Linked DNA regions of Rhinolophus ferrumequinum. The protein of the gene in region 4 purifies or fractionates together with the protein of the main gene of each other region. This does not show direct contact. Links are inferred from orthologs where the notes say so. Each region holds a gene or a part of one and is shown on either strand. Other genes may lie near its edges.

Region 1 (7,755 bases), on a different chromosome or scaffold from region 4:
TTTGCCATAAAAGGGAAGTAACATTAAATGCCAGGAAAGCAAAAACACTATTCTTGAATTCTAGTTAGAACCTGTTTCTTGCTGAAGGCTCTGAGCTGAGCCCTGCTCTCTCTTCCTTAACAAGTGAAGTGTTAAAGACACAGAAGCTGTTAAATGAGATTTTCTTCCCCAGTAATTGGAGGAACAGGAAGAAAACAAAAAAGAAATACATGTATCATGATATGATTCAATGTTATGTAATAGAGTCTGGAGACCTAAAACTATCTGGCATCTACCACTGCTGTACATATCATATTTTGGAAAGCACTGAGCTAATCCAAATCTTTCTTCCTATTTTACAGATAAGAAAACTAAGGCTCCAAAAGAGGAGGTGACTTGCCCACGATCTCACAAGGTCTGTGGCTTCAGCCAGACCTAGAGTCTAACCGGAAATCTTTCCAAGGCATTGTTTCCCTTTCGTGGGGAGAACATACAGAGATGAAAGGTTTAAGGGCACCAATCGTAGAATTTGAGACATGTAGCAATCACTAGTGACACCTGGGTGGAATGGCAGGAGGCAGGTGTGGCTCCTGTCGTGGCTCCCATCATAGCAGTCCACAGACTCCCACCTCCTCTCCTCTGTTGGGGCACAGTCCTCTGAGCATTGGACTTAGACACACAGTGACTTTGACAAGAGCAGTTTCCCTAGGGAAGGGCGAGCAGGTAGAATTGTGATTGGAATGGATTTAAGAGAGAAGAGGAATTAAATTCCCTGAGGGCCAGAGACTGGGCTCATCAGAACTACAGCAATAGTAATGCAGCCTGCTTGGCTCAGACACCTGGGTGGAGGATGTTTTGAGCCTGGAGAGAAGGGATGTCATAAAAATAACTCTCTCTCCAGGAAAGTGCACTTTTTTGCATTTAATTTTGGGGGTCTGGCAACCATTTATTTTCTCACTTTTAAAAAATGCTTACATAGCATTTATATTCCAGGCACCTCACAAATATCGTCATTTAATCCTCATGACAAACCAATGCAATAGGTACTATTATTATCCCCATTTTGCAGATAAGGAAACTGAGACACAGAGAGCTTAAATAACTTACACAAAATTTCACCTTGGAATTGGTAAGATTTGAACCCAGGAAATGTGGTTTGACTATGACACTAGGCTGCCTCAATGCATTTAACCCTTAAGACTGCAATGCAAGAAAAGTATGATTAATCCCATTTTATAGATGCAGGAAATAGATGCAGGAACTGAGGCTGAAGGCTATTTGGCATCTACGTTGTGGACCGGACAGACTCTTCACTTCTTTGTTGTACTCCCTGGACCATGTGTCAGGAATTCTTGGTCAAGGGTTGTGCTATTCAATATGGCCACATGTGTGGCTACTGAGCATTTATTTATTTAAGATTTTATTGGGGAAGTGGAACAGGACTTTATTGGGGAACAGTGTGTGCTTCCAGGATTTTTTCCAAGTCAAGTTGTTTTCCTTTCAGTCATAGTTGTGGAGGGCACAGCTCAGCCCCAGGTCCAGTTGCCGCTGTTAGTTGCAGGGGGTGCAGTCCACCATCCCTTGCGGGAGTCGAACTGGCAACCGTGTGGTTGAGAGGACGGGCTCCAACCAACTGAGCCATCTGGGAGCTCAGCAGCAGCTCAGCTCAAGGTGCCGTGTTCAATCTTAGTTGCAGGGGGCAGAGCCCACCATGCCTTGTGGGAGTCGAGGAGTCCAATGGGCAACCTTGTGGTTGAGAGCCCACTGGCCCATGTGGGAATTGAACCGGCAGCCTTCGGCATTAGGAGCACGGAGCTCCAACCACCTGGGCCACCGGGCCGGCTCGCTACTGAGCATTTAGAATGTGGTTACTGTGACCAAGGAACTGAATTTTTCATTTTATTGAATTTTAATTTTAAGACAGGTCAGGTAACATATTTTTTCCATTAAATACAGCTTAAGTTTTTTAGTAGGACTACATTTTACTTTAACCATTACTTTAACAATTTAGCTTCCATGCTGATTTGTGTCCAAATTAAGTGTAATATATACACACCAGATTTTGAAGACATTAGTATGAAAATATTTTAGATGAACTCATTAATAATTTTTATTATCTGTGAAATGATAATATGCTAGATACATTGGTTTAAATAGAATATATTATCAAAATTAATTCCACCTGTTTCTTTTTATTCTTCTTTAGTGCATGACTAGAAAATTTGAAACTACATATGTGGCTTATGTTATATTCTATTGGAAAGTGCTGGTCTAGAGAATTGGGATGTGACACCCCCAGCTGTGACAAGGGCCTCAAACTTGGGGCCGAGGCCCAGGGTGTGGTTCCAGAGAACATACCTACAAGTGAGGGTGGAGGCTGCTGGTTTGCAAAGATTGTGAAATGTCCCTGGCCAGTGTGGACACTGGGGTCAGCGGCCCCAAGTTCAAATCCAAATCTACCTCATACAATGAGCTGGGTGGTCTTGGGTAAGTCCCTCACCTTGACTCATTTATAGAATGTAGGTGACAGTGCCCATCTCACCAGTGCCTCAGAATCTCTGTGCTTACTTTTTCCTCTTTCCCCCTCACATCTTTGCACTAGTCACCCCTATTCTTCCTTAAGATCCTACTTTAAGCATCACCTTCCTGATGAGACTTACTGAAAACAGCCATCCCTCAGTCATCTCTGATACAGAAAAATCTACCCTATTTTATTCAAGAAAATAAATGACACTTATAATCTATTTTCAATGATCGTGGTTTATTGATTTTATTTTATTGATAATGGCCTGTCTCCCCATTGATTTATACAATCCATGAGGACAGCGATGGGTCAGTCTTGTTTCCGATGAGTCGTGACAGGCATGGGTCTGACACCCGAAACAAAGTTAGGAATGTGTGAGCCAACCCAGCGCAGTGCCAGCTTCATAAAGGTGCTCAGAAGACAACCATCCCTACCTTTCTTTACCCCTAACAGCTATGGGAACTTCTGACCTGAGTCTAGATGTCCTGGTGTAGAAAATGAGTTCATTTATCCCTCCCAGGCAGGGGAGTCTCCAGGGTTAAATGAAATCCCAGAATCCCCTAGTGTGCCCTGAAGGATCTGAGACACTAGTGAGCTGGTCCCTATGGTTCTGGAACTAGGGAAACAAAGGTGACTCCAACCGCCTCCCATCCAACCTCTGCCTGAGCAGTTATTTTTTTGACATCTTTTTTTTTAACATTTGTTTTTATTAGTTTCAGGTGCACAAAACAATGTAATAGACATTTATCATTTATAGCCCTCACACAGTGACAACCCCCCACCCCCCATCCACTACCCCTCTGACATCGCACACAGCCATTACATTTCCACTGTCACTATTCCTCATGCTGTACTCCGCTTCTTGTAACTATATATGTATATAGTTGTAGTTGACATTCATTATTGTTCAGCTTCAGCTTCAGGTGTACAGTGCAGTGATCAGGCATGTACGTCATCCCTGAGGTGGTCTCCCTAATGAGAGTCCATTGAAATGCCCATCGGTAGATGACTGGATTAAGAAACTGTGGTACATTTATACAATGGCGTATTACGCAGCCATAAAGAAGAATGAAATCTTACCATTTGCAACAATATGGATGAACCTAGAGAACATTGTGTTAAGTGAAATAAGTCAGAGAAAGACAAATACCACATGATCTCACTTATATGTGGAATATAAAGAAAAGAATAAATGAACTAATCAGAAATAGTCTCAGAGACAGAGGAAAAACTGAGGGTTGACATCATATTTTTCCAGACATCAAGACCTAGAAAGGATTTCCACTGAAAAGTGTAGATCCCCGGGGCTGCACAGGGATGCTTTACCAAATAGCAAGTGCCACCAGGGCCTGCCAGGCCTGGGGTGCAAGTCCCGTGATAGGCATCTTCCCCTCGCTGAGCCTCCATTTTGTATACTCTTTTTATTGAGCACCTATGATGTGCCACACACTGTTCTAAGCATTTTACTAACTTCTTTTATCCAAACAACGACTCTATGAAGTGAATGCTGTGCTATTATAAGCCCATTTTATAGTGGAGGACACTGAAGCAGGGTTTTAGGTAGCATTCCTGAGGTAGCACAGTGGCCTGGGCAGAGGTGGGGTGCACTCTTAGGCAGGCTGTTTCTAGGGTGCCTGCTCTTAACCACTACTAATGGTTGCACTGCCTTTATCAAATGAATGCTGTGAAGTTCACCTTACCTCAGGCCTTCCCAGGGCACCACACTGGCTCTTTTGAGCCAGGAATCAGCTCCTATAAATCTGTGGTTTTTGTAAAGCTCCTGGGCTGCTTTCCCATAGCTGGGCCTCAGGCAGTTCCTTAGTAGAATGGGGAGACTAGAGCTTCCTGCCTGCCAAAGCTTCTCTAAAGGTTTAAAAAGCAATGGTGGAAAGGTAGCCAGGAGGCTGTAATGGTTTGCTTTTTTTATTTCTCTTCAGCACCATCCTGAGAAGCAAGGATGTTTTTCCCATTTCACAGATGGGGAAACCAAGGCTCAGAAAAGCAAAATGCTTTTTCCAAGATGATAGGGAGAGTCAGTGGCTGGTGTCTACACTCAAACTTCGGGCGCGGGGCGGAAGGGGAGTGGGGTGGAGACGAGACACCCTTCGAGGGCGGGAGAGGCGAGGGGTGCCCCGGCCCCGCCCGGGAACCTAACCGGAGGGACGGGGCGGAGCGCGTTGGGAGGGGCGGAGCGCAGGGGATGGTGCAATCCCCGGCCGGAGCGCCTCAGGCGGCTGCTGATTAGCTCAGGTTTACATCACCCGGGCCAGAACCGTCGCCTGGCGCCAGGCGTCCAAGAGACACTCGCCGCGGAAGCCGCGGCGGCTCCGCACGCTTCGGGCTGCGGGGGGTCGAGGCCAGAGCTCCGCCAGATCCCAAGCTCAGCAGCAGCGGAGCAGGTCCCAGTCCACCAGGGGTGCCCAGGCGACTCTGAACTTAGGGGTCCGCAGGACACCGCCGCACCAGGGCAAGGTACCCGGCTGGGAGCCAGGGGCAGGAAGGTTGGAGGGGCGGGTAGGTTGGAGGGGCGACCGGCGGAGGGTGGCCGGCGAGCTTCGGGATGGCTCCGGGCTGCCGCGTGTTACACACACCCCTTTGAACAAACCTGGCCGTCCGGGGGCGATCTGGGCCGAATGTTCCTGCCGGGTCTCAGGTGACGCAGCCCCTCAGGCCTTGGGGTCGCCCAAGTGAGGCCGACACCCGCTAGGGCGAGGGAGCACACCCCGGGGGTGTTAGCTGTGTCCCGGGGGCGGAGGGAGCCAGGACGGAGGTGTCCGTGTGTGGGTCCGAGAGAGGTGTGCGGTTGTCTGTGTTTTGGGTGAGTGTGGGTCAGGGGAGTCGTGTGGTTTGGTGGGGGAGGAGTGTGTGTGAGGGACTGCATTGGAGGACTGGAGGACTGTATGTACAGTCTCTGTCACTGTGGGGGGGTATCCGCGGGAGTCCGCGGGAGCCTGTGGGGTCTGGGTGGGGATGTGTTTCGGGACTCTGTGTTTCCGCGGACGGTGAGAGTTGCGGGGAGGGCAGAGCACCTGGTGGCAGGTGTTGGCTGTGTAGGGGGTACGGGCGGGGTAGGGCAGGGGTTTCCTGGAGGCGGAGGACCCGTGCAGGTCAAGTGGGACCACGGAGGCAGCGGGCGGATGCGGGACCCTGCTGCGCGCCGGTCCTGGGCCGCAGGTGTGTACCTACCGGTTTGCACGTTGCACTGTGCGCACGTGTGTTTCGATCCAGCAGACGGCGTGTGTTGTACCTGGAGACTTGGGGAGGGGAGGCGAGGGCCCAGCCCCGCTCCTGCCCCCTGCCCTTGGGCCCAGCCTCCCTCTCTCTGTCTCACCCCCTCCTGATTCCCCACCGCACCTCGGTTTCCGCTGAATCTTCTGCCCGAGACACCCGCTGCCGCCTCTTCCGCTCCCAAGGGAGGAGCCTGGCTGCGGGAGGCCGGCGAGGCAGCCGACTGCCTTAGGCCCAGTGAATGTGTGTGTATTGGGCGAGGGCGGGGAGGGGGCGTGTCAGACTGTGCGTGTGACCCTGTTGCTATCAGTCCTGCTATCGTGAGTGTGATGGTTGGGAGAGCTGTGTGTGTGTGCGTGCACGCTTGCCCGTGGAGGGAGAGGTAAGTGTGTATCACTTGATGTGTGTGCCTGTGTCTACCCTGGATGTATGTGTCTCTGCTGGCTGGCTTGGACAAAGTGTGTTTTTGAGGGGTGTGTGTACACCTGTCTCCCCTGTTGTGTGAGTGTGTATTTAGTACGACCTGCCCCTTTTCCCATGGGGTTGTCAGGGACCAGTAAGAGGTAGATATTAGGGGCTGCCTCCATCCTACAGTGGAGATCCTGCAGTGTGGCCTGCAAAGTCCCATGTTCATCTATAGATTCAGATACCCCTGTTCAATGGTGTGGGGCATCCCAGGCCCCACCAGGCTCTGAGGTACAGTAGGGCCAAAGCAGCCTGGAGTGCTGTACAACCACCAGAAAGCCACTCCAGGGAGTCTCTGCTTCACAGGGCACAAAGCATCTACACAGCCAGGGGTCATTTTGCTTGACTCAGAACAGCCAGTGAGGTCATCCTAGCCTCATCCCTGGGGAGATTTCTGAGTCTCCATATGGTAGCACTTGAGCATCTTCAGCTAATAATAATAATATTAATAATAATAATAATAAATAATAATGGAACAGCAGTAGTGACCATTTCCTGACTCCTATCCTGTAACAAGGCCATGCTACTTTATTTCTGTTTTAATTTCTTCACCACAAAAATCCTATGGGCATTACTAGACATATGAAAAGATGCTCAAAGTCACTAATCATCAGAGAAATGCAAATTAAAACCACAATGAGATATCACCTCACACCTGTCAGAATGGCCATCATCAATAAATCAACAGAAAATGGTGTTGGCAAGGATGTGGAGAAAGGGAACCCTCATGCACTGTTGGTGAGATTGCAACTTGGTGCAGCCACTATGGAAAATTGTATGGAGGTTCCTCAAAAAATTAAAAACAGAACTACCTTATAATCTAGCAATTCAGTTACTGGATATCTGTCTGAAGAAATCCAAAACACTACTTCAAAAAGATATATGCATCCCTATGTTCTTTGCAGCATTATTTACAATAACCAAGATATGGAGGCAACCTAAGTGTCCATCAATAGACGGACTGGATAAAGAAGATGTGGTACATATATATAATACTTGTACAATGGAGTATTACTTGGATATAAAAAATGAAATTTTACCATTTGCAATAACATGGATGGACCCAGAGGATATTATGCTAAGTGAAAGAAGTCAGATAGAGAAGACAAATATATGATTTCACTTTTATGTGGAATTTAAAAAAAAAACAACACAACAGACATACAAAATAGAAACCAACTCCTAGATACAGAGAACACACTGATGGTTGCCAGATGGGAGTGGGTTTTGGGGGCTGAGTTCCATGTATGGATGAAATACAATCTATGTAACCAGACCCCTAATGATGGATGTTCAGTTATTTCTATTACATGGGCTGCAAGAATAACCTTGTACTGGTATTATTACATCAGTATGTAGAGAGCTTCCCGGTCCTTTTTCAGAACTGTATAGTGTTCTACTGCATGGCTGTACCATAATGTTTTAACCAGCCTCCAACTGCTGGACATTGAGGGTGTTTCTTGCCTTTTGCTATTTAGACACAAGGTTCTGATCTAATTTTTTGGTGAGCATTATTTTTTTTTTAAGATTTTATTGGGGAAGGGGATCAGGACTGTATT
Region 2 (7,510 bases), on a different chromosome or scaffold from region 4:
CTGCATTATTCATTTAAATTTAAACGGAGAAGGAGCCTGGCATTTAAAGAGCCAAAGGAGAGCAGAGGAAACTGCTAGTGCAAAGGTCCTGAGGTGGGAAAGCTTGGGAGTTTGGGGCAATAACAATACCATTGCCGTTACTGAGGCAGAAGAAATGGGAGAGGGGTGGGGCAAATGATACAAAGACCTTGGGGGTAAGGAGTGTAGCTGGTTCCAATTCTGGTGTGTAAGAAATATAACTTGAATTTTCTCTAACTCAAGTGAATTCATGTTTTGCCTCACTCAGCCAAGTGTCAGAAACTTAATTGCAGTCCATTCAAAGTTACCCCCACTTTCCTTGGAATTGGTCGAATTCTAGGGTTTTCCTTTCAAGGCACCAAAGCATGGGAAGGGTAGTCTAATCTGGTGGTCATTCAGTCACAATAGCATCCACTGAAATGTCCTCATTTTGTTCTGGCATTTTGTCATCTATCTGCTCAGGTTGCACAAGTCCACGAGGGTTTTGTTCTGGTGTTTTGTCATCAGCCCACTCGGGTTGCTGCTGAGTTGCTGCTCTCTGACCAAAGACCGCCTGACCTCCCCTTCAAGTGTAACCCATACGCCTCTCAGTGTTCAGATTTTTGTTCTACTTTTCCCAGGCCAGTCAGGCCCAAATTCTTAGGGTCTTGGGTTAGTTAGGCCCTGTTTGCCCAAATGCAGCACACAGCTGTTTCTTCAGAGGGTTTTGTTACTTCTTGGCGTTCCCCCAGGAAAAAGAAGCACAACTCTTCCTGTTTTCCACTCTCTGAGACCCAGCTGATACCCTCCAGCTAACAGGCTGAGAAGAAGCTTCTTTCTTCTCAGGGACCACCCCCAAGTCAGTCTCCCAGATCCCCATGTCACAGTTTTCTAAATTTGTATCTGCTCAGAAATTCTTTCCATTCCTCTCTGAAGCCTAGGCCTTTGGAATTCAGAAGCTAAAAATGAACTCTGCATTCTGTTGTATCATTTATTTCCTGACAGAAGGAATGCAGAGTAACCTAGCTATCTGCATAAAGGAAAGGTCAAGAGCCACCAAGGAAGAGATTTAAAAACAAAAAGCATTGCCAATGTCATCACCCCATTGGAGTTTGGGTTTTGTGCTACTCGTGGTGTGGCCTTTATTCAAGCCCAGACATAAAGCAATGTGGAGGTCCTAGGTGATGACTGAGCCCTCAGGAATTCTGACGGCTCGGGTGGTATGGCATGTCCCCTCTTTCCCTTCCTGTTTCTGGAGAGAAGAGTACAGGGGTCTCTGTCTCTGATTTGTAGGAGGGGGACTGTCAGGGCTCCGAGGAGAGCTGGGTGGGCATGCAGCTTGAAGGTCCTGTCTCCCTGGGGGCCATACAAGTGACACAGCATCTCCAGCTCTCAGCTGGTTAGGACATGAAGGGACTTGAAGGAGAACATCCAGTTCAGTGAGTTCCAGTCTGGTATCCCTGCCTGAAAGATCCCTGAGGGCAGTAGGGGTCCCTTGAGTTCTTATCAATGTTCCAGAAGGACCCAGAGAAACAGCACATAGTATTGGAGGGTAACCAAGCTGGCTTGGTCTCTGCTTTGGGCTGTAATTATACCAGCAGAATGGTGGTCACCTTGGCTTGCTCTTTCTGAGCAAGCTCTAATGGCTATAATACGAGGCTGTGATCAATAAAAAGGGGAAAATGACTTGATGCAAGTTGTATGAGAGACAAAATCTTACTGAATGTGAGGCTCGTGTGGAGGGAAAATGCTAAAAGAAGCTTTGACGGTGAGATGGTTGGGAACCACTGATCCAGTACAACTCTGCCTTTTTACAGTTGAGGAAACAGGCCATTTCCTCAGGGAGACGGGGAAAGGGGTCTTCTCAGGTCCCGTGTTTAACTTATTGGCAGAATGCCAAGATGGTCATCATAAGTAGCTATCACTTGCTGAACCTCATTGCGTGCCAGGCCCTGTGCCAGGGCCCTAGGTGCTCCAGGAGGACACAGCTGTCGCCTGTTTGGTCCCACTGGATCTCCAGCATCTAGCCCAGTGCTCTGCACATAGCAGGCACTCCATAAATCTTTGTGGAATGAAAGAATCATCTCGTTTCATCATTGTTACAATGGTATATATTAGTAGCCCCATTTTACAGATGAGCAAACAGACCCAGAAAGGTGAAGTGACTTGCTCAAGGTTGAAGAGCCAGTGAACAGCAGAGTGGGGATAAGAACTCAGGTCTGTATGACCCAAATTCCATGATACTACACTATACTATTCTGCTTGCTCGCACTCCTGACACCACATGACGACACAGTGCCCTGCTCATCTCGATGGTGGTACCCAATCACCAGGTGGGGGCCTGGCACTCAAAATTTGCCATACACAGGCGTGGGGCTTGGCCACAAAGAGAAGCCAGAAGTCCGCCAATAACAAGGATTTGCTGGGTTTCAGAAGCCTGAGGAAGCTCTTTGGGGTTGAAGACCTCCTCCTGTGTTGGGCAGGCCTGCCTATATCTCGTCAAGCAACCATCTCATGCTGTTGTGACAGGCGTCACTTTGTTATGGCAGTGCCATCTGCCAGTATGCCCAGAGTTGGAGAGCCAGCAGGAGAGTATGTCACTGTGTGTGTGTGTGTGTGAGAGAGAGAGAGAGAGAGAGAGAGACACGCAATAGCTTCATGTTGGTGTCTTGATGACAGTGTTTCATTTCCTCTGGCTGGCACCTTTAGTTTTTATTCATTACCTATTCTCCCCTCTTTCTCTTTCTCCTCCTCTCCTTTGTTAAAATCCTATGTTTTGAATCAGCTGAGAGTCTCCTGGGGGTGGGGATGGTGTTGTCAGCTCCTAGTGATTCATCTAGCTGATAATTAGAACTCTGGAAAACCCAAAACTTATTTCTGTCAGAGTCAGGGCTTCCGGAATCCCTAGGCTTTTCCCTTTGTCAGAGAGGAGAGCTGGGGAGGGGGCGGGGAGGGGGTGGCTGGCTTCCTTGTGCCTGCCTTTCTGTCATCCCCTTCATCAGAGCTCTGTAACTGAGGTGAGTCGGAGCACTCTTACTCACCAGGTCCTATGAGAAATTGCCTCCACACTCACTGAATCCTCACAGTGATCCCACGAAGTGTTATCCCTGTTTTGACAGCCAAGGAAGGTTAAGGAACTTACACTAAGTCACTCAGCTTGTAAGGAACGCAGTAGGAATTCAAATCCACCCATCTCAGAATCTGTCAGAGTTGGTTCAGATCACAGCTCTGCCATTATAAGCTCTGTGTCTTTGGATGGGTTACTTCCCCTCTCAGAGCCCTAGCTTCTTCATCTATAAATAGACTCCTAACCTGATGTCTCTAAACTCCTCAATACGGTGTGTGACACAACAGTGGGAGCTGTTTTAGTACTATTATTATTTAACCCTATTAGTTCCCAGGACACCAAGCATTCAGAGAGACAGAGATGGACACAGGAGGCTGCATCCAGACTCTCACTTGTACCAACTCTCATGTCCTGGCACTGCCTGTGTGGAGATGACAAATACGCATACACATAAGTGCCTGGCCACATGCCCTAGAAAAACCCAGCACCAGGCTTGGACACGTGTGCCCACACAAGGATACAGGGTGACCCAGGGCATAGCTAGCTGGAAAGACACCCGAGGTGTCAGTCATATGCAGCAGGCACCGCAGCTCACACCCGAGACAAAGGAGTGGGGCCATTGTCGCTGGTGCTGCTGCCACTAAGCTCTCCTAGCTGCTTCTGCATGGCAGGGGAGGGAAGCCAGGCTCTCAAAGGGCCCCAGTGAGTCACCAGCCTGATGCAATCCCTTTAAAGGGCTCATCTGCTGGTGCAAGAAGCTGATTCATGGAGGGCGTGGTTGCTGGAGGAGGAGGAGAAAGGCACCGAAACTGCAACAGGAGGGGCTGAGGTTAGGTGGCTGGAATAGTTAACAGGAACTCTTCACTGTAAACCTCCCTGGTCAAGACTCCAGCGATCTTCAGTTGAAGCGGGGTTTCTACAAAAGCGAGGGGCCCAGAGGAAAATGTGAGGGCTGCGACAGGAATTCCTGTCATTGAGTCTAACTGCAGCTCTCTACGCACAGAACTCCAGAAACCGAGAAATGGGGATCAAGGAAGAGCCATTTTTCTGATAAATATACTACATCTGGCCGACCTGCCAACTGCTGGAGATTTCTCCAAATCCAGCAGGGCGTGTGCAGGGTACGCGAGGTGCCGCGGAGCCGGGGCGGGGGACGGTGCCTCCGGCCCAGCCTTTCCTCAGACATAGATAAGCAGTTAGTACCGCCCCTTTAGAGTCTCAGCCTCCAATCGTTTCACAGATCTCGGCCCAGACCCCACCTTGAACCAATCCGCAATTGGAATCTGGCCTCTGGCCTGAAGGCTTCCGCCCGTTGTCAAGATGGTGCCCAATCCCAACGCCGTGGGTCTGTGGACTCGGGCGAGGGGCGGGGCCAGGGGCGGGGGCGGGGCTGCGGCTTGTGCCCGGAGGAGGGGGCGGTGCGTCACTTCCGTTGTCAGGTGGCGGCGCCGCAGCCATGGAGGGAGGCGGCGGCGGCGGTGGCGGCTCGGGCGGCTGCGCTGGGAGGCGGCCGTGAGCGGCTCCCACGCCCCCGGCCCGGCCCCGGCCCCCCGGGACGGAGCGCCGAGCAGTCCCGGCTCCGGGCTACGGACTATGGGCGAGCAGCGCTGAGCACCGGGGGAAGGTGAGAGCGGGGGTCCGGGAGTGGGGAGCCGGGCGGGGGGTGCGGGTTGGCTGGGCGGGCCTCAGCGGCGGTGGCGGTGGGACTCGGGTGACAGCCTGAAGCTATCCGGCTGCGACAGAAGTGGCAACAGCGAATGTCCCCTCCTCTTCTGGGGTCTGCAGTTCCCCGGTGGCGGGGGCTGCTGCGCGCCGGGGCCGCGGTAAGCCTTGGTCTCGCCGAAGCCCTGGGAGGTGGACACTGCCAACCTTGCCCGGAATCACTCGGCCAGTAAGTGAAGGCACCGGCGTTTGAACCTGCCAGGTTTTTCCCAAGAGACACCTTCTGTCTCTCCATGCTTCCCTCCTGATCTCGAGAGGGACTTGAAAGTTAGAACGAGTCCCCAGGGAGGGCCAGCCAGGGCTTCCTCCAGGAGCCCTCACCCGTTGGCACGGGCACCATCGCTTCTGGGGAATTTCTCTTCCCAGGCGGCGTTCGGGTGCGGGTCAGAGCTACCTGCTTGCCAGTGCTACATTTGGTCGGCCTTTTCCAAGGAGAGAGAGAGCCTGTTGCTGTGGTCACTGTTTCACCTGCCATGCCGGGTCAGGCCCGCCCATTCCCACGCCACTTGGCCCCACCTTCCAGGCTGGGGTTTTGGGATTCCCGACTCCTCGTTCTCTGCCCACCCCCACTCCCTAGGTTTGATGCCGGTTTGTTGGCGGAAGGAAGAGATGACAGCCGCCTTCTGTGGCAGGATAGACTTTGCTCTGTTTTAAGTCACGGGAGGAAACCCATTGGCTTTGCTTGGTTTTGAGAGCAGTGGGGAAGAGGGTAGTCACTCTGGGCTGGGCGCATTTCCCTCTTGGCTTAGCTTTCACGAGATAAGGAAGAGAAGAATATGTAATTGTAAGGCCAAAAGCATCCTTGTTTGTAAACTGTTTGTGAGCTGCTCCAGCGCTTTAATGGCCCTGTTGTGCCAGTTGTTTACTGGTTGGATCTAGACAGTTTGGAGATAGCCCTCATTCATTCATTCATTCATTCGTTCCCCACATGACAACAACAGTATCTTTGCCTGGAGAAGCAAGTACCCTATATTATGGTGATTAAGACTGGGCTTTGGAGGCAGTCTTCCTGAGTTCAAATTCTGGCTCACAGCTTTCTAGCTGTGTGACCTTGGGCACATTGTTTAACCTCTGTGCCTCAGTGTTCTCATCTCTAAAATAGGTTGATAACAGAGTTGTAAATATTTAAAAAGTTAACATATGTAAAACACATAGAACCATGTCTGCCACATAATAAGCATTCAATAAATATTAGCTATTATTCCTATTTCAAGAAGCTCATGGTCCGGTTAAGGGAGACTGACCTGTAAACAAGTAGTGGAAATGTGGTCTAAAAAGCCAATAGCAGCAGGAACAGAATGCTGTGGGAGCCCAGTGGAGGGAGCTGCTAGGTCAGCCTGGGTAGCAGGAGGGTCCTGAGAAGGCTTGGCTGAAGCTGTTATGCTGGAGCTGCATCTAGAAGGATGGGAAGATTTAGCCAGGTGAGAATGAAGGAGCGAGGTGTTCTACTTAGAGACAAGTAAACTCATAGTTTATTCTAGAAACCTCAGCCTGTTCAATATGGTAGTGTGAAAGTCGACATAATGCAAAGTAAGGCAGTATAGGTTGACAAGGGAATGCCACATTAACAATTCCGGACTTTGTGCCAAGGGCCATGGGGAGCCAATGAAAAGGTTTTAAGCACTGGAGTGTCATGGTTGGATCTAGTTTTAGAACTATCTCCCTTGAGTCTCAACAGAGGAAGGAAGGAAGAGGGGAGAGACCAAAAGACTGGAGACCTCTTCAGAGGCCATTGCAGGCCTCTGAGAGGAGAGAGGTGGTGCTAGTGTGGTGGATCTTTGCTGAGAAAGCACTTTTTGCAACCGGTGGCAGGTGACAAGCTCCCTATATTGCCCTCGGCTTCTCTGCCTAGCACAGAAGTGACTGGCGCATGTGCCCCTCTCTTCCTGAGCTTGCAGGTCACTTGAGCAGCCAGGGAAGTAAGGTTACCTTCTCAGAAGGCCAGTTGTAGGGGGTGCTCCCTTTGCTCCCTTGTACCTTTAATTTGACCTTTTGGGAAAACAACAGATTGTAGTGGTTAACAGCCTATTTGGCACTGCAGTCAGACAGATCTGGGTTCTAATCCCAGCCCTGCTAGTCACTAGAAGTTGCTTATTCTCTCCATGCCCAGCTTTCTCATCTATGAAATGGTGACAGAGCCCCTCCCTAGTAGGGCAATTCTGAGGATTAAGAAAGCTATGGCAGGTTGAGCATTTAGCACACACTGAGTGAGACATGCTTGGAAGTGTTAGCTGTTATTACAGGCCGCGGGAAAGAACTTCCAAAAAGTAGTTGATGCAATTAGTGGCAACTGGAACTGTGTCCCATTGAGCTGTCAGAAGTGTCCTGAGGGATCACAAGAATTTTATTGTATTCTTTCTGAAAAGGAAATCAGTGGGGAGTTTACCCAGGCTGTATGGGAGCCATTTGGATGATTCAGCACGGCTCTTTAAAAGAACCATTTTTTTAAAATAGAAGTAGGACTGCTGAGGGGAAAAAAAAAGTGTTTTAAAGTACGAGCAAAAGTAGAGTTTCTTCCATGTGTGTCCCTATTATGACCCTAGTCTGGTGTCTGAATTAGTGTTATCAGGAAGCCTCCCATGCATTGATGTGTGTAGTGGCTCAGAATCCAGAACTTGAGTTCCGTACACGAGTGGCTGGAGCTGTGCTGGGATTAGAAGGAGAACGGAGGGAGAGGTAGGCTACAGGGACAGATGGGGCAGGCTCCTCACCGATTCACACATG
Region 3 (7,172 bases), on a different chromosome or scaffold from region 4:
GCTCTGAACAGCCTACTGCATTTTGGTTAACCAGGCACAGTTGGTCTGGGTGTCAATAACTTGGAGAAGATGCAAAATGCCAAATGCTCACTACAAGCAGAGTAATATTTAAAAGAGTCTCTTATTTTCCCCCAAGGTCTGAACTGAACAATTGCAAAACTGACTACAGACCTCCACAAAACCCATGTTTTACAATGAAATACTCCAGTGCCCTACCAAATAAATTCCACAAAGCAGTCTGTGGTTAATGGTAAAAGTGTCACACATTATTTGTAGCAAAGCTGTGCTGAGTGCCCATTTCAAAGACAGCAGGGGTCCCCACTACTCACGACCCCCCCCATTACATTCCCCCAGGAAAAAACAACAGTGAGGAAAATCTAAAATTAAGTGACAATGAATTCTTGATCTATGTCCAATTCCTGGGTAGCTGGTAGGCTCTACTGTCTTCTCTTTTTTTGCAACTATTCCCGTGCTAACCCGCTTGTCTGGAGCCCCGTGGGTGCCTACAAAGACACACAGACACACATACAGCAACCAGTCACTCTTTAGGGTCAAAGACAAAAAGGAAATTGCAGTGTCCAGATCTGGGGCTCCAAATCGGACACGCAAAGGTATATGTGGGGTCGGGGAGTGAGGGAGGACGAAGGGGATTCAAGCACGGAAGTCTGGGGATGAGAAGAAACCGAGACATGAAAGACCCAAAGGAGTCACTATTTCCTACACCCCAAGGTGCGCAGGCGGCTTTGATTTCCACCCCCCAACCCTCCTTTCAAAGATCCAGGCACAAGAAAGCTCTTTGTAAACTCTTACCCCGCGCTGGGCCCCTGGGCTCAGCCAGAAGGGACACCTTTGTGTGTCCTTTTAAAGGGCACCTTCGGAACAAAGGTTTAACACCTGCACGCAGCTAAGAACAATGGCTGCAAAAGGAACCAAGTCATCAGTGCCTTAAAATTAGCGGGGGATTCCCTGCTCCATGTTGGAAGGGGAGGGGGCTAGACACCGAGAGAAATCCCCTGGTCAGTGGAACCTGGCCTCGCGCGGAGGAGCTCCCCGAGATCCTGGGAGCACGCGTGTCTGTGGCCCCCGCGCGGCTCCGCCGCCCTCCCCGCCCCCGGCTCTCCCCAAAACAGCCCCGCCACAGCCCGCCCCATTGTCTGCAACGCTCTAAAAACTTCACAGCTAGTCGCACATGAACAAAATAAATAAATATATCTATTTAACGAGGCCACGGATTATTATCCCGCGAATCTCCCTCGCCCAGACTCCAGGGCTCCGCGACCTCCCGCACCATCCAGCCCCTTCCACACCGCCGGGAAATCTTTTTAAAAGACAAAAAGCAAAAGCAAACCCCGGGCTCTTTACCTTGCACACCAGCTCCTCTCCACTGTGCAGATGCACTGCACGAAAAACGTGGTCTCCCTCCAGAGGTTCCAACAATAAGTATTTCCCGATGCAAGAAACGCAATGCGACAAGTTCGGAGTCTCCGGCGGGCTCGGGGAGCCGAGGTTCGGGCTGAAACTCTGGCTGGGCTCCGCGGACCTTATAGACGACAACTCTTCGAAATCCTGGGTTTTGTTCCGCGATCTCCCATATCTTGCAATTGTGATGGGGGTAGACCTGTGTATGTTCATGAGTGTGGGATCGCACACGACAAACAAAAAAAACCCTCTGGAGGGATGAGTCGCTGGCGAGTGCGGCTGCAGGCGCCTCCGTGCCACGGATTTTAAAAGGGGACGCGAGGGGAAGGAACGAGAAGAGGGCTACGTAGAGAAAGAGTTAGAACCCCCCAAAGGGCGCCGCGGGGCACCTGGTCTGCTCCGAGCCCGGCTCCCAGGGGCACTCGGTCGGCAGCAGCTCGGGTCCTTTTGTTACCCCAAAGCAGCCAGCGATATGCACAATCTCCGCACTTTTAGTTTCTCTCTCTCCCTCTCTTCCCAACGTGGATGTAGACGAGGAACTGGATTGCTAAGGTGGGAGCTGCAGCGCCGGGTCCCCCGGAGCAATCCCCACGCAGGCTTCCGACTCGCAGACGAGGCGGTGGAGCCCTGCTCTAGTTGGTGCAATCTTCGCCGAGCGCACGGCTGCGGATTGCTCTCCGCGCGTTAGAAACCCAACAAAAAGAAAAAGGAAATCAGCACGGGTCTACCGGCTCGCGCCGCTCGGCAGACGGAATCCGCGCTGCACCCCCTTTTTTGGTGGAAAGGGTGGGGGGCGTGGAAGGGGGGGTGCCGGAGAGGGTAGTTACCTACGATTTAACTGTAGATGGCGTCTGAGGCTTTTCCAAGATCGCAAGAGCTCTCCCAAAATTAAACAAACAGACAAAAAAATAGCAAGGGAGCATTTAACTTAGAGCGGTCAACGCTGCCAACAAAAGATTGCAAAAGCTGGGTGCAGAGTAGTGGCGCGGGCCATGCGCAGGTACCGCGACAAAGCCCAGGGCTCGGCGGGCCGGGCGGAGGTCAGCACAGGCTCATGCTGTCGCCAGCCGCTCGCTCGCGCTCCTGGTCGTCCTCCGAATACTGGGAGAAGTGCGGGCAGGGACCGGGGCAGATCAGTGCTCTCCGATTTCCCCAGCCCGAGCGTCCAGGGATCCTCCGGGCGCTGGTAGGGGATGCGCCCCCAGCCCTGCTCACTCGCCGCGCTCCTTTCCCGCTGGGTACCTGGATCTTGCCTCGGAAAAATTTGCAACCACTCGGTCTCCCCCTACCCTACACCCGACTGCCTGGCCGGGTAGGTTTTGGAGGAAATTGAGGGCTTTTCTTCTTCTTTTATTTGTTTCTTCCCCCCTCGGAGGTAAGAGGAATGTGTATTTAAAATTGAAGGGGACGGCCGACGGTGCCCGAGGCCAATCCCCGAGCTCAGCACGCCCGCATCTCCCGGCGAGGCGGTATTAATAGTTACTTACGTGGCCGGGGATCTCGGAGCGAGCGGGGCCGGGTGTGCGCGTGTGTGCGCGCGCGCGCCTCGCTCGCGCTCGGTCTCCCCATTCAATGTCACCGACACATTTCCACGGAGCCTCCGCCCCCCCACCCCGCCACCCCCACCCCCCCCAGCCTCCGCGGCACCGGCGACTGGCTCAACTCGGAGCCGGCCCCGCCCCGCCCCCGCCCGGGCCCCCCTCATTGAGCCGGGCGCCCATCAATCAGCCTCGCGGCTGCCAGTCCGCGGGCGGCTCCCCTCGCCCGCCGGCGGCGCCGGCGGCTGCCACTGCCATTGCAGCTCCCGGGCCGGGGCGCGGGCGCTGGCCTAGCCGCTCGAGGCCTGGGCTCTGTAAACAAAGTGCAATATCCTTCCGCGGCCCGGGGCTAGGGAGTGAGCGCACTGGCCTCGGAAAAGGAGGGTGGAGTGGCGCGGGAACTGCCCCCCGGTCTCCCCCTAGCCAGCAGTTCCTGCAGTGCCTGGTGTACTTTTTCACACCTGGTTCATCTTCCCGGCGCCTTTTCCCAGAAATCTAGGCACCCCCTGAGCATCATGCTCCTCAGAGGGTGCGCGAGCAAAGAGCTCTTCTCTGGTGAACAATGTGTTGGTATCAGTGCTGAATGGGGTTTCAAAAATTAGTTTCATCATCTTTTTCCAACATCTTCCAAATTTTAAAACATTGACTGCTTTTAGTTGGTGTCACCCTCCTCCTGCCCCGCTCCCTCCGGGCTTGGATTATTTTCAGCAGACCAGCTGAAGTCACCGTTTGACTCGGACCAAATTTAATCACTCACTCTTCCCCTTCCAGGACAGTGCCCAGAGGGCCTTCCTTGGTGGCTGAGTGACAACAAACCTCTGCACCCACACCTCACACCAGGGCTCCTGGTTCCTAACCCGAGTGCTGGGCTGCATGGATCCTCTTCTCTTAGCGCACCCCCACTCCTACACCTACATGGATCGCAAATGAATTCAACATTGAGAGTCATGTAGGGTTGATGTTTCCCGCCTCCCACCCCACCCCCTTTTATTCTCCCCAGTCCTCTGGTCTGGGCAGAAACACAACAGGAAAGGTGCCTGGACTCAGGCAGAGGCATGAGACTCCAGGCCTTAATGTATCCTGGTAAATCAGAATCAATCTGGTTGGGGAACAAACTAACTAACTAACTAACTAACTAACTAACTAACTAAAATAAATAAATAAATAAATAAATAAATGAAGCAAGCCAAGGGACCGCGAAAGGGGAGTTTAGAAGACTCCGGGAGCCCTCTGAGCTTTTACATGCATTTATACATATTTTCCAGTGGGGGAGAGAAAGGGGACCATATAATTTATTGCCCACAGTAGGACACTTTTGACTGAAAAGGAGAGCTAGTTCCAAATATGCCCACTCCTGCATAATTTATAATTATACACAACCAAGTTACTGTAGCGATAAGGAGTTCCTGGGAAGTTGGCCAGAGAGGACACTACAGCAGGCTGCCACAGGACCAGAGTTTGAAAAGAAGGTCAAAAAGTGTGGCCCCATGCCTCCTGGCACATCTCATCATCCTGCTCCTCACAAACCTGCCTAGGACTCAGTCATCTGTTCCCCGGGCTATCACTGTGGCTGCCAAGCAGGGACCCTGAATCCTGTCTTGTTCCAGGTACACACTTATGTGCTCCTGTTTGTCTCAGGAACAAAGGCAGCCTCTGCTGGTGGTTCAGGAAGAAAGGCCCAGGCTTCTTCAGTGACCACCAATGATGCTTTACAACTAGGGGCTGGGAGACCCTTGTTCCAACCCTGCCTGGATCCCTGAATTCAAATGAAAATTGACTCAAGACATTTTTTTTTTTCCTCCCTGGGTCCCCATTTCTTCAGCTATAAAATAAGAAGTATAACACCAGCCTTGCTCAGCTCTCGTGATTGCTTTAGAATTGTATTTTCAATTCCAGGAAATCTATGAAGGCTTACTATAAACCCAGCTCTGTGCTGGGTGTTAAGGACCCAAGTATGATTAGCTTTGATCTCTGCCACCCCGGAGCTCAGAGTGTAGCCCCAGAGGAAAACATGAAATACATAATCTCATTGTGTAACAATGTGGCAATTAGAATTTCAAGGCATCAAGGAAGCAGAGAGGAGAAATAACTTTTCCTGGCCTTCAGGAAGTTTTCCCAGAAAACGTTACTTTTTTTACCTTGAATTAATCCAGAGCAAATATTTACTGAAACCTACTATGCACCAGACACTGGGTATAGAGATAGAATGATTTAAAAAATATATTTGTCTTTGTGGTTCTTGACAAAGTTCTGAGTCATAGAATAACATGAATAAGAGATTGTCGTTGGCATTTCAGGCAGAGAAAGAATGTGCAAAAGCAAAGGAGTGGGAGGTTCTGAAATTTCTAGTAACTCACCATGGCTCCACTGTTGGCGACTTGGGAGCAGCGGTGAGGCCTGTGGCTGGCAAAGCGTGTTGGAATTAGAATAGAAAGGGGCTGATAGACCAGTCCCTGGTCTTAGCAGCAAAGGAGAAGTAGAGTGAAGGCTGATGGTTGGATTGGGGTTTTAAAAAGGTCACGCTGGAGGTCATCTGGAGTAAATACCAGTGGGCTTCTAAAGGAAGAAAGAGCACTGTAGACTGGAAAGATCAAAAAAATTATAAACTTACGGTGATGTGTAACTGATGCTATACCTGATTGAAAAGTATTTATTACTTCTGACGAAATTATACAGTAGCCACTGACCTGCCCATTCTCAAAGGTCAAATGTATAACCTTTGGAAGCTATTGCAGTACAGAATGGATTAAATAATTCATAACAAGTGCCTTAAACATTTTTATACATATTGATATAACTCTCAGGTTGAAAAAAAAATAAAAAAACACATGTTGTAGGACTATCTGGGTGGGAACCTTCATTCATTCCCTTTTTAGCTATATGACCTTAGGTGAATTTAGAATATCTTAATTATAAAGTAGAATTAAGATATTCTGAATTTTACCTAACACATCACAGTTATGGAAGATGTATAAAGCAAGAGCACAATGTCTTGCATATTATAAATAAATACTTTTTATTACTATTATTTTTATTATTGCTATTATTATTGGAATACATCCACAGAAAGCAATCTACCATATAATAAGAATAATAATAAGTTACAAAATTCTAACAGTCTCAATAAAATGTATGGGAATTGTTAAACACACTGTTGTAAGAATGGTTAACTACACTATGTAACAATGATAAAATATTATGTGGCAATTAAAACAAGAATTATATAATTACAGGAAACAGTTAAACCAGTCCTCTCTATTGGACAGTCAAATGCAGTTGCTTTAGGTCACTAGCGGGCTGTGTATGCTTTCCAGATCATTCTATCTTGAAATATATTTAGCTGTGCCTTCATCTACTTCATTTCTCATAAGTTTATTAATTTAGCAAACATCACAGTAGGTACCTACTAAATGTAAATCTCTAAGCTAAGCTCTGTGTTTCTTGAGCAAATAAATGGTTTTTGAGAACAATTTCTAAGACGACTGTATCACTTCAGGCTGATATGGACCACAAGTGATGACATTCATCTTTCTCAAACAACTCTACAGTAAGTCATACCTAGTCTTAAAAATCGGCGACAAACTTCCAGGATAAACATAGAGAATGCTGACCCATGCTGATATGCAGGCTGTGGACCACACAACTCCAGACTGTTTCATTCCCATTGAGGTCTCTGTGCGTGGCACCCCTGGACTTGTGCAAAACGCAATCTTCTTGGCCACACGTGGAACCTTGAGCTTAGACAAATTGGGCTGGAGGGAACCTCCCAGCCACTTCACCTCCACTCGTCTCGGTTACACACCCACCAGCTTCTCATCATTTTGTGGACTCCAGTCCCCACCTCTATGCCCACTGAGAGTCCTCCCATAATAGTAATTTCTTTTCTCAATCTGTTTTAAACAGTTCGCGTTTGGAAAGCAGTTGTTTATTTACAAGGTGATTCCTAGGGGCACCTATTAAAGGGTACCTGTTTGTTTGATTTACCATGGCTGGACAGGAGTTGTGTTTTTCTGTTTGTTTATTTGTTTGTTTTGTTTTTTAACAAATGGCCCAGTCCACTGGGAAAAGTCCAGTATATAAATACAGAAGAAATTGCCATGTTGGACCCATTTTTTCCCAGGCCTTGGTTTTGTAGCATTTTTTGTCATATAGGGAAATAGTTGTTGAGTGCTTACAAGTGAAGTGAATACAGGAGACATTTTCTTGTTGCCCTTA
Region 4 (7,508 bases):
TTTTGGAGAACAGACTGGTCCTCAAATAATAACTTTAAGAAATTATAGTTCTCTATAGGTGTCTACCTTGTGTTTTAAAGTGCAAGTTGGAACTTTTCACTTTAATTTTCTGCTAGATGCATTATTATGCTATCGGGTTAAGAAATTTCTCCATTTCTTTCTTCTCCATTCAAACTGACAGAAAATTGTTTTCTCCTTTTTCTTCTTGTCGTGCGAGGGACTCTGCTCCCTGAACCAGTTGTCACGCAGGGCGGCCTGAAGGGTGACAGGTGGGGTATCCAGCCGACTACGCATGTGTCACGCAGGACGTCCGGCGGGGTCTCTGGTCCCACTCCCCACAGAAAAACGCAGGATATGGTGAGGCCAAAAAGGAACACCCACGGAGCCATAAGTAGGGGAGTCATTATCTCTATACTCTCGCTGGTGGCTGGGTTGGAGAAACAGGACGCAGGAGCCACACTGTTTGCAACCCTCACTGTGCCGCTTGCAGGCTCAGCCACCATCTTCTTGCTAGCCCCCATTTTCTTTTTTTTGCTGCTAGCCTAGCCACGGCCGTTATATTCATGGCTAATGGCTCACTGGTTACAGCTGACGGCCAACTAGCCACAGCTGCTGGCCATTTGATCACAGTCAATGGCCATTTACTACCTGAGCCAGCACCTTTCTATGTGAGGCCGAGAGCCTGGAAACTGCTTTTTGGGGCTCTGTCCCCACACTTCTCAATTTAGCTTTTTAATACCATGGTTATTTCATACCCCCCCCTTTTTTTTTAAATAGGGCAAACACATTAAATTAAAAACAAAAACTGAACAGGAAGCTACTATTCAGAGATTTGGTTAGACAACAAACAGGGCTAACAGGTAGCAAACCCTTCAGGTGAGTCAGATAAATACAGCTTTTTAGGGAGGATCGTTTTGGAAGATTGGTTACCAAAGGGCAGGGCTAGCTGGAGATGAGACCAACAGCCTTATTTCCCTAAATTATATTTGGATAAGATACCTTAGCAATATATCTGGGAAGTTCAATCCTCTTGGTAGTTCCATTCCACCTTAACTATTAGATTTTACTTCAGTAGCCGTGTTTTTGTGGAAGACTGGATTTCGTCTTGTCATGTTTATCATTCACTGGATTAATATATTTAATACATGATGGAATTCTTTTAATTATTAGGGCTAAGCTGTTATTTTACATTTACTTTCATTTCTCATTAATGCTTTCTTCCCTTCTCCTATTTGCTACTTCTTCTGAGTTGTCTGACTTTTGTCTGTTTGCATGTGTATATTTTGTCATGCTTCCTCTTTTCTGCTTCCCCAGAAGATTTTGCCAGTAAAAACTAGTAAGGGTGGTGTACTTTCAGAAGTCTTTATACATTTATCTGATATAAGAGGGAAATTCTACTGCATCATATCCCCTCAGCTTCCTTTTGTAAATTTAGATTTTATTAAAGATAGGTTCTAAAGTGGTCCTATCACTTTAAGCACATGATGATTTTATTAAAGATAGGTTCTAAAGTGGTCCTATCACTTTAAGCACATGATGATTTTATTAAAGATAGGTTCTAAAGTGGTCCTATCACTTTAAGCACATGATGATTTTTTTTTTCTCAGAGACTTCTCAACGAGTCATATCCCTTTCTGTCTCCTGAATAAGCTACCTGGAAGGAAGAGACTACTTTACGTATTTCTCTTACATTACCTACAGTATCAATCACGTATTTCTCAAAGGGTTAGTCACCTGCATCAGATTCACCTGGGTGCTGGTAAGAACGCATATTCATAGGCCCTACCTCAGACCTATAGAGTCAGACCTATAGAGTCAAATGAATTTAAACAAGGGATCTCTGGAGGTAGAGCTCAGACACCTGTAGCTTTATTTCTCTCATGTGCTGAACTTTCCCCTTAGCCTTAGCCTGAATTTTCAATCACCACCTGGATCTGCTTACTTGAAAGTAAGCACTCACACAACACATCCCAAACTAAATCATCCACTGGCTGTCTCCAATTCTGTCATCCTGCTATTATCCCTGGAGTCACTCCTCTTTGTGTTCCATCACTTTTACTTAATCAATTTGTCAGCATTTATGCCCACAAAGTACTGGGCAAGACAGTGAGGAACAAGACAGACATGGGTCAGGCCCTCAAGAATTGTCAAGATTCTTTTAGAGCGTAACTTACTTCTATAGACTCTGTTGTGATTTTTTCCTCAAAATATCCCCTTACTTTCCTCATCAGCTCTCTAATCTAGAATCTCATCACTTATGCTTGGGCTGCTATAATTTTTTCCTAATTAGTCTCTTTGCTCCTCATCTCCCACTTCTTCTGAAAGATTAATCTGCTGAAAACTTAAACTTCAAAATGACACTGAATATATTTTACCCCCAATAAATGCCTTCATTGTTTCCAATGGCTTATAGGCTATTTTCCAAAGTGAATTCAAGACTCTTTACAATTTGCCCCCCAAATGAATTTTTCCTGAATAAACTCTTTACCCCTATCAAATAGGTATCTGAACTTGATGAAAATACTTTCACCTTTTTATTTTCTGGGTTCATGACTTTAATTACACTTCCTGATTGACCAAGCCATACTTTCCTTTCTTAAGGTCTAACATTTACCCACACCAACATGGCTGGTCCTCAGCACTTGCTCTTGCTTTAGCTCCTATGGCGATTCTCTACTCATTAAGCATTTCACATGTGCTCCTTGGAGACATTACTTACTTTTTTATGTATTTTTCTAATTCGTCAACTATTCCATAAATTTCCTGAATGTAGGAACATTTTATATACTTCTTCATCTCTTCTTTGCCTAATCCAGGCCTATGGGTAGCAAATGTTCAACAGATATTCATCAAATTCTTTGCATTACTTTACGCATTCTTTCATCAAAAAAATTATTGAATGCCCACTGAACACCAATACGGTTCTGTCTTTCATGGAACTTACAATTTAATTGGAAAACCATACTTTAAGCAAATAATTAAAATAAAAATGAGGTCAATTGCTTTATTCGTTAGTCGAGAAATATTTGATGAGCATCTATCATAGGCCAGGTATTGTGTTACCTCCTGGGAATACAAAGCTGAAGCTGATAGGCTGGTGGAGGAGAATCATATATAAACCACTAACATACAATGTTATAAGTGCAAACAAAATATCGTTGGAGCACAAATGAGAGTGCAACTATCTCTGACAAGGAGTCAGGAAGGCTTCACATTTCAGTTGGGTCTTGGAAATGAATTTAAACAAGGGATTAGATAATGCAACGTTCACACAAGGAGGGTGGTTCATGGAAATCTGATAAACCCATTCCTGTATTATTATTCTGAGCAGAAACCTGAGCTGGAAATAGGAGGGTGAGCAACTAAGGCAGAGTTGAGGAGTGTGGTACCCTTACGATGGTTCACTGCCCAGGTGAATGGCTGTCTTGTTGCTGGGCCTTCATGTAGGCCCTTCCCTGGCCCTACCCCTTCAGCGTGGACAGATATTCCTGGGGAAAGGCCCTGGTTGTTCCTAGTCTTCAAAACTCAAGAAAATTAATTCTGGGCTCTTTTCCTCCAAGACACATAAAATGCTAAGAGTTGGAAAGAGATACCGAAAAATCACCCAGTTCAGTTGTTTCTCCTTTACATCCCCAAGAATCTTAGGGATTCTCCAAAAGGCAAATGACAATCTGTAATCAATTTTTAAGATTCCAAAAAGCCTCCCAGAAATTGCACATTTTCTGGTGGTATTAAGTACCAGGTTTCTTTGTTTTGTGCTAGGAATACATCAGATCCACATAAACCGAGGTTCTGGCTGAGCTGTGTTCTGATTAAGTATCGTTTGTTTTCCCATTGTTGTTAGGCTTAATTTGGCAAATCGCTTTTCAAAATACAAGAAGAGGATCATGGTCGAACCCATAAAATTGGTAACATCTGCTACAACGTTTTCAACTTACAAAGCACTGTCGACTGACTTCATCTTAACGTATTCCTCAGAATACTGTGGAATGGTCCTGAGTCCCTGACTCTCAGTCCAGTGCTCTTTCCAACTGCTCGGAGCTTCTGGGTTATTTGTATGCGTCCCAGTCTGCAGAGCCTTCAATCCCCCACTCGGAAGCACCTGCCATGCCCTCGCCACTGGTTTGCACAGCCTGCCTCTCTCTCAGGCAACGGCAACCGCTCCCTCTTCACGTTGAGGAATGCGGCTCACCCGCACGCATGCGTGGTGCGCCGGCGCCGCTCAACTCCGCCAGGAGCGGGCACCCTGGGTAACTCAGGGCGCGCGTGCGCAGTCGCTCTGCAAGCCCTCCCCCTCAAGCCCTCGGCCACCGCGACCATTCATTCCGCTCGCTGCAGTCTTGTCACCCATTACGACGGCCTGCCCTCCGGTACGTCACGAACGAAAACAGCTCCCGGCGAGGGCTACCGTCGGTACAGGCCGCCGCCGTCGCCGACGGCGCGCCGTGCGCGTCTGAGAACCGCCCGGGCCGCCCGTCAAGTCGTATCCCCCGCCGTTCCCGCCCCTTCCGCCGCTCGCGCACGCGCACCGCCGGGCCTCGGCGCCCCAGGGTTGGCTGCGGCAGGGTACCGCGGCGGCGGCGGCCTCAAGAGCGGCAGTGGTTTCTCCTCGGCTTTATTAGTTTCCTCCGCCCCCTCCCGTCGGACGCTGTCGTGTGGTCGCCTTACAAAAATCAACTTTATTGTTCCTCAGCCCCACCTCCGGCGCGGCGCGCGTCCTCAGGATGCACTGAGCGGAGGCAGGGGAGGCGGCGGCGGCGGGTCGCGGTCCCTCTCCTCCGAGCGCCCCGCCGGAGGGGAGGGAGTCACGATGTCTGGTAGCCGCCAGGCCGGGTCGGGCTCCGCCGGGACCAGCCCTGGCTCCTCGGCGGCCTCCTCGGTGACTTCCGCCTCCTCGTCCTTATCCTCTTCCCCGTCGCCCCCTTCCGTGGTGGCGGCTTCGGCGTCGGCGCTGGGGTCCGGCGGGGCAGCCCAGGCCGCGGGCTCCGGCGGCCTCGGGGGCCCGGTGCGGCCTGTGTTGGTGGCGCCCGCTGTGTCCGGCAGCGGCAGAGGGAGCGGCGGTGGGGTGGTGTCCGCGGGCCTGTCCCGGCTCAGCTGCGCGCCCAGGCCCAGCGCCGGCGGAGGAGGGAGCAGTTCCAGCCTCGGCAGCGGCAGCAGGAAGCGACCTCTGCTCGCCCCTCTCTGCAACGGGCTCATCAACTCGTACGAGGACAAAAGCAACGACTTCGTATGGTGGGTTTGAAGAGCAGCCCCCTCCCCGTCGCGGAGTTTCTGCCGTTCGGGCTGGTGGGTCGGGGCGGTGTCTGCAGAGCGATTCGAGCTGCTGCTCGGTGGGGTGAGCAATGTTGGAGACCCCGGGCAGGGTGGGTACCCACGAGGTAAGGACTCGTGAGGGGGAAGTGAAGAGCGTTCAGGGCCTAAGAAACGAGGGGGCAAGGTGGAAAGTCAAATACATGGTTCTGCGTAAAAGGAAAAAGTTGGGCAAGGAAGTTAGGCCTTGAATTTTCTGGCTGGCTGGTGAATTCGGTGTCCTGTTAGTCCGATTGCTTGTTCAAGTGAATTAGATTTGTAAAGGGAGAGGGGTACGCTCCCTGGGATGCTGAGGGATGGAGTTGTTGGCCAGATTTTGCTGATTGAAAGTGTGGTAGACGGTGTACTAAACCTGGGTATGGATGTTTTAAGAAGTAGTATTTCATGTAAGTGTCCATGGTGTGTCTATGGATAAAGATCTCTTACTGTTTCAAAGGGTAGGCCGCTTGGAAATCTGTCAAGAAAGGCTGTTCACCAAAAATTGCACTTCTCAACTGAGTATCTTGAAATAGGGAACCACATTTACTAAATATCATCCGTGTGTCAGATGGAGCCACTACACTTCTGTATCACATTCGAGTATACTGGAACGTCTCATTTGAGGAAGGCGAGATATTTGACATTTTGTCAGCCAGACTTGAATGACATCTTGAATGATACACCGTAGTAGTATTCAGTTACGTATTTGTCATGGAGGGGTCAGCCCTATTAAGTGAAAGATGGAGTTGATTGTCTTGTTGAGAGTGTTTCTGGATTTTCACTGGATTTCTGTATCCAAAACCCAGGCAAATAGTAGAATTGTGAGAAAGAAGTTACTTTTAGCAGAGTGAAATTTACCAGCTAACTGGTAGGATTTTGTGCTTTTCCCTGGAGGAAATTGTAGGTGGATTTAGAATAGTAATGGTGTAGGAAGTTGGCTTGCGACTGTCATTATAGGGGAAGTTGATTCACTTCAGGATCAAAGATGATCGGAGTTTGTTGTCATTACAGTTGACCCTTGAACAACACAGGTTTGAACCGTGTGGGTCCAGTTATATATACATCGGTATTTTTCAGTAAATACAATTGGCCCTTGTATCCTTGGTTTCGCATCTGTAGATTCAACCAATCACTGACCAAAGACAGTATTTTCACATTCCTAACCTCAGGTAGAAATAATACTATTTTCCATCTGCAATTGGTTGAATTCACTATGCAAAGGGCCATCCGTAGAGTCGAAAGTTAAAAGCGGATTTTTGATGGTGTGGGGGTCGGTGCCCCTAGCCCTCCTGTTCAAAGATCAACTGGTAAATACGATGGGAAGTTATTGATTAGACTTACAGTTTCTAGTTCTTGCAGTAATGATGTCTATTCATATGCTTGCTTTGGTCTTAAATTATTCTAGATTCAGAATTAATTCATTTTTCATTGAAACTGGGCTATAATTGTGATTGTTATTTAAAAATAAGCAGCTCGTGGTGGGGTCTAAGGTGTTTGTGCTCATACTCAGTAGAGAGTGCCATATGATAAAGTAGAAGCTAATGAAACAAAATGAGAGTTTGCAGGATTCAGTTTTTTTAGCCACCATTTTCATTTCGGGTTTCAGTAGGCTAAAAGAAAACATGCCAGCATCCAGATAGGTACACCAAAATAGTGCCAAAGATGTGAGAAATAAGGGAATCAGTGGTTCATTTAGCAGGTATTTATTTGGCACTCTCTGTCTGCCAGGCGCCACATGAGTTTTATTGTACTTCTGATAGGCCATTTTATCCGGAATTGAAGAAGGATGGGGGAATGGAAGCAGCTAGCACTGATTTTTTTTTTGGGGGGGAGGGGTAGGTTATTTACATTTTTATTAGTCTGCCACCTAATTTTTTAAAATTACAATCTAGTCCCCGAGTCCTAACCATGTTTATTAAATTATTCTGTTTTCTTTAATATTCTAATACGGAAGTATCCAGTAAGAGTCTTTAGTTAAAAATTCTGAATATTTCACTTTAATAATCTCATTAATCCATTTCTTTTTCTGGTGAGGTTGAATATTCAGAAGAACTCATTAATGAAAATCTATTTTCCAAATTCTCAAGCTAGATTTGATTTGGCCAAGCTTTTGGAGTAGGGGGATATGGATTAGGCAAGGCTCAAGGAATCCTTTTCATTTCTAATTGGCTCTGGGTGATTGGTCTGGTCTTGTATGCTTCAAGGTCAAACTGAACCAA

What was found.
Region 1: the proteins of COP1 (region 4) and TRIB3 purify together in Homo sapiens (affinity purification with mass spectrometry; 5 studies listed by BioGRID and IntAct, counting the BioPlex papers as one, with this or other methods). This does not show direct contact. The link is inferred for Rhinolophus ferrumequinum from reciprocal best matches to the Homo sapiens genes COP1 and TRIB3.
Region 2: the proteins of COP1 (region 4) and STK40 purify together in Homo sapiens (affinity purification with mass spectrometry; 3 studies listed by BioGRID and IntAct, counting the BioPlex papers as one, with this or other methods). This does not show direct contact. The link is inferred for Rhinolophus ferrumequinum from reciprocal best matches to the Homo sapiens genes COP1 and STK40.
Region 3: the proteins of COP1 (region 4) and TRIB2 purify together in Homo sapiens (affinity purification with mass spectrometry; 4 studies listed by BioGRID and IntAct, counting the BioPlex papers as one, with this or other methods). This does not show direct contact. The link is inferred for Rhinolophus ferrumequinum from reciprocal best matches to the Homo sapiens genes COP1 and TRIB2.

What each region holds. Positions count from the first base shown.
Region 1 is NC_046306.1:23,329,987-23,337,741, forward strand, and holds the start of TRIB3 (tribbles homolog 3), read left to right. Parts: upstream 1-4,754; 5' UTR 4,755-4,975; intron 4,976-7,755. UniProt on the Homo sapiens protein: Inactive protein kinase which acts as a regulator of the integrated stress response (ISR), a process for adaptation to various stress. Inhibits the transcriptional activity of DDIT3/CHOP and is involved in DDIT3/CHOP-dependent cell death during ER stress.
Region 2 is NC_046292.1:25,285,419-25,292,928, reverse strand, and holds the start of STK40 (serine/threonine-protein kinase 40), read left to right. Parts: upstream 1-4,507; 5' UTR 4,508-4,688; intron 4,689-7,510. UniProt on the Homo sapiens protein: May be a negative regulator of NF-kappa-B and p53-mediated gene transcription.
Region 3 is NC_046296.1:63,869,476-63,876,647, forward strand, and holds the start of TRIB2 (tribbles homolog 2), read right to left. Parts: upstream 3,006-7,172; 5' UTR 1,633-3,005; coding exon 1,363-1,632; intron 1-1,362.
Region 4 is NC_046305.1:10,101,386-10,108,893, reverse strand, and holds the start of COP1 (E3 ubiquitin-protein ligase COP1), read left to right. Parts: upstream 1-4,503; 5' UTR 4,504-4,810; coding exon 4,811-5,232; intron 5,233-7,508. UniProt on the Homo sapiens protein: E3 ubiquitin-protein ligase that mediates ubiquitination and subsequent proteasomal degradation of target proteins.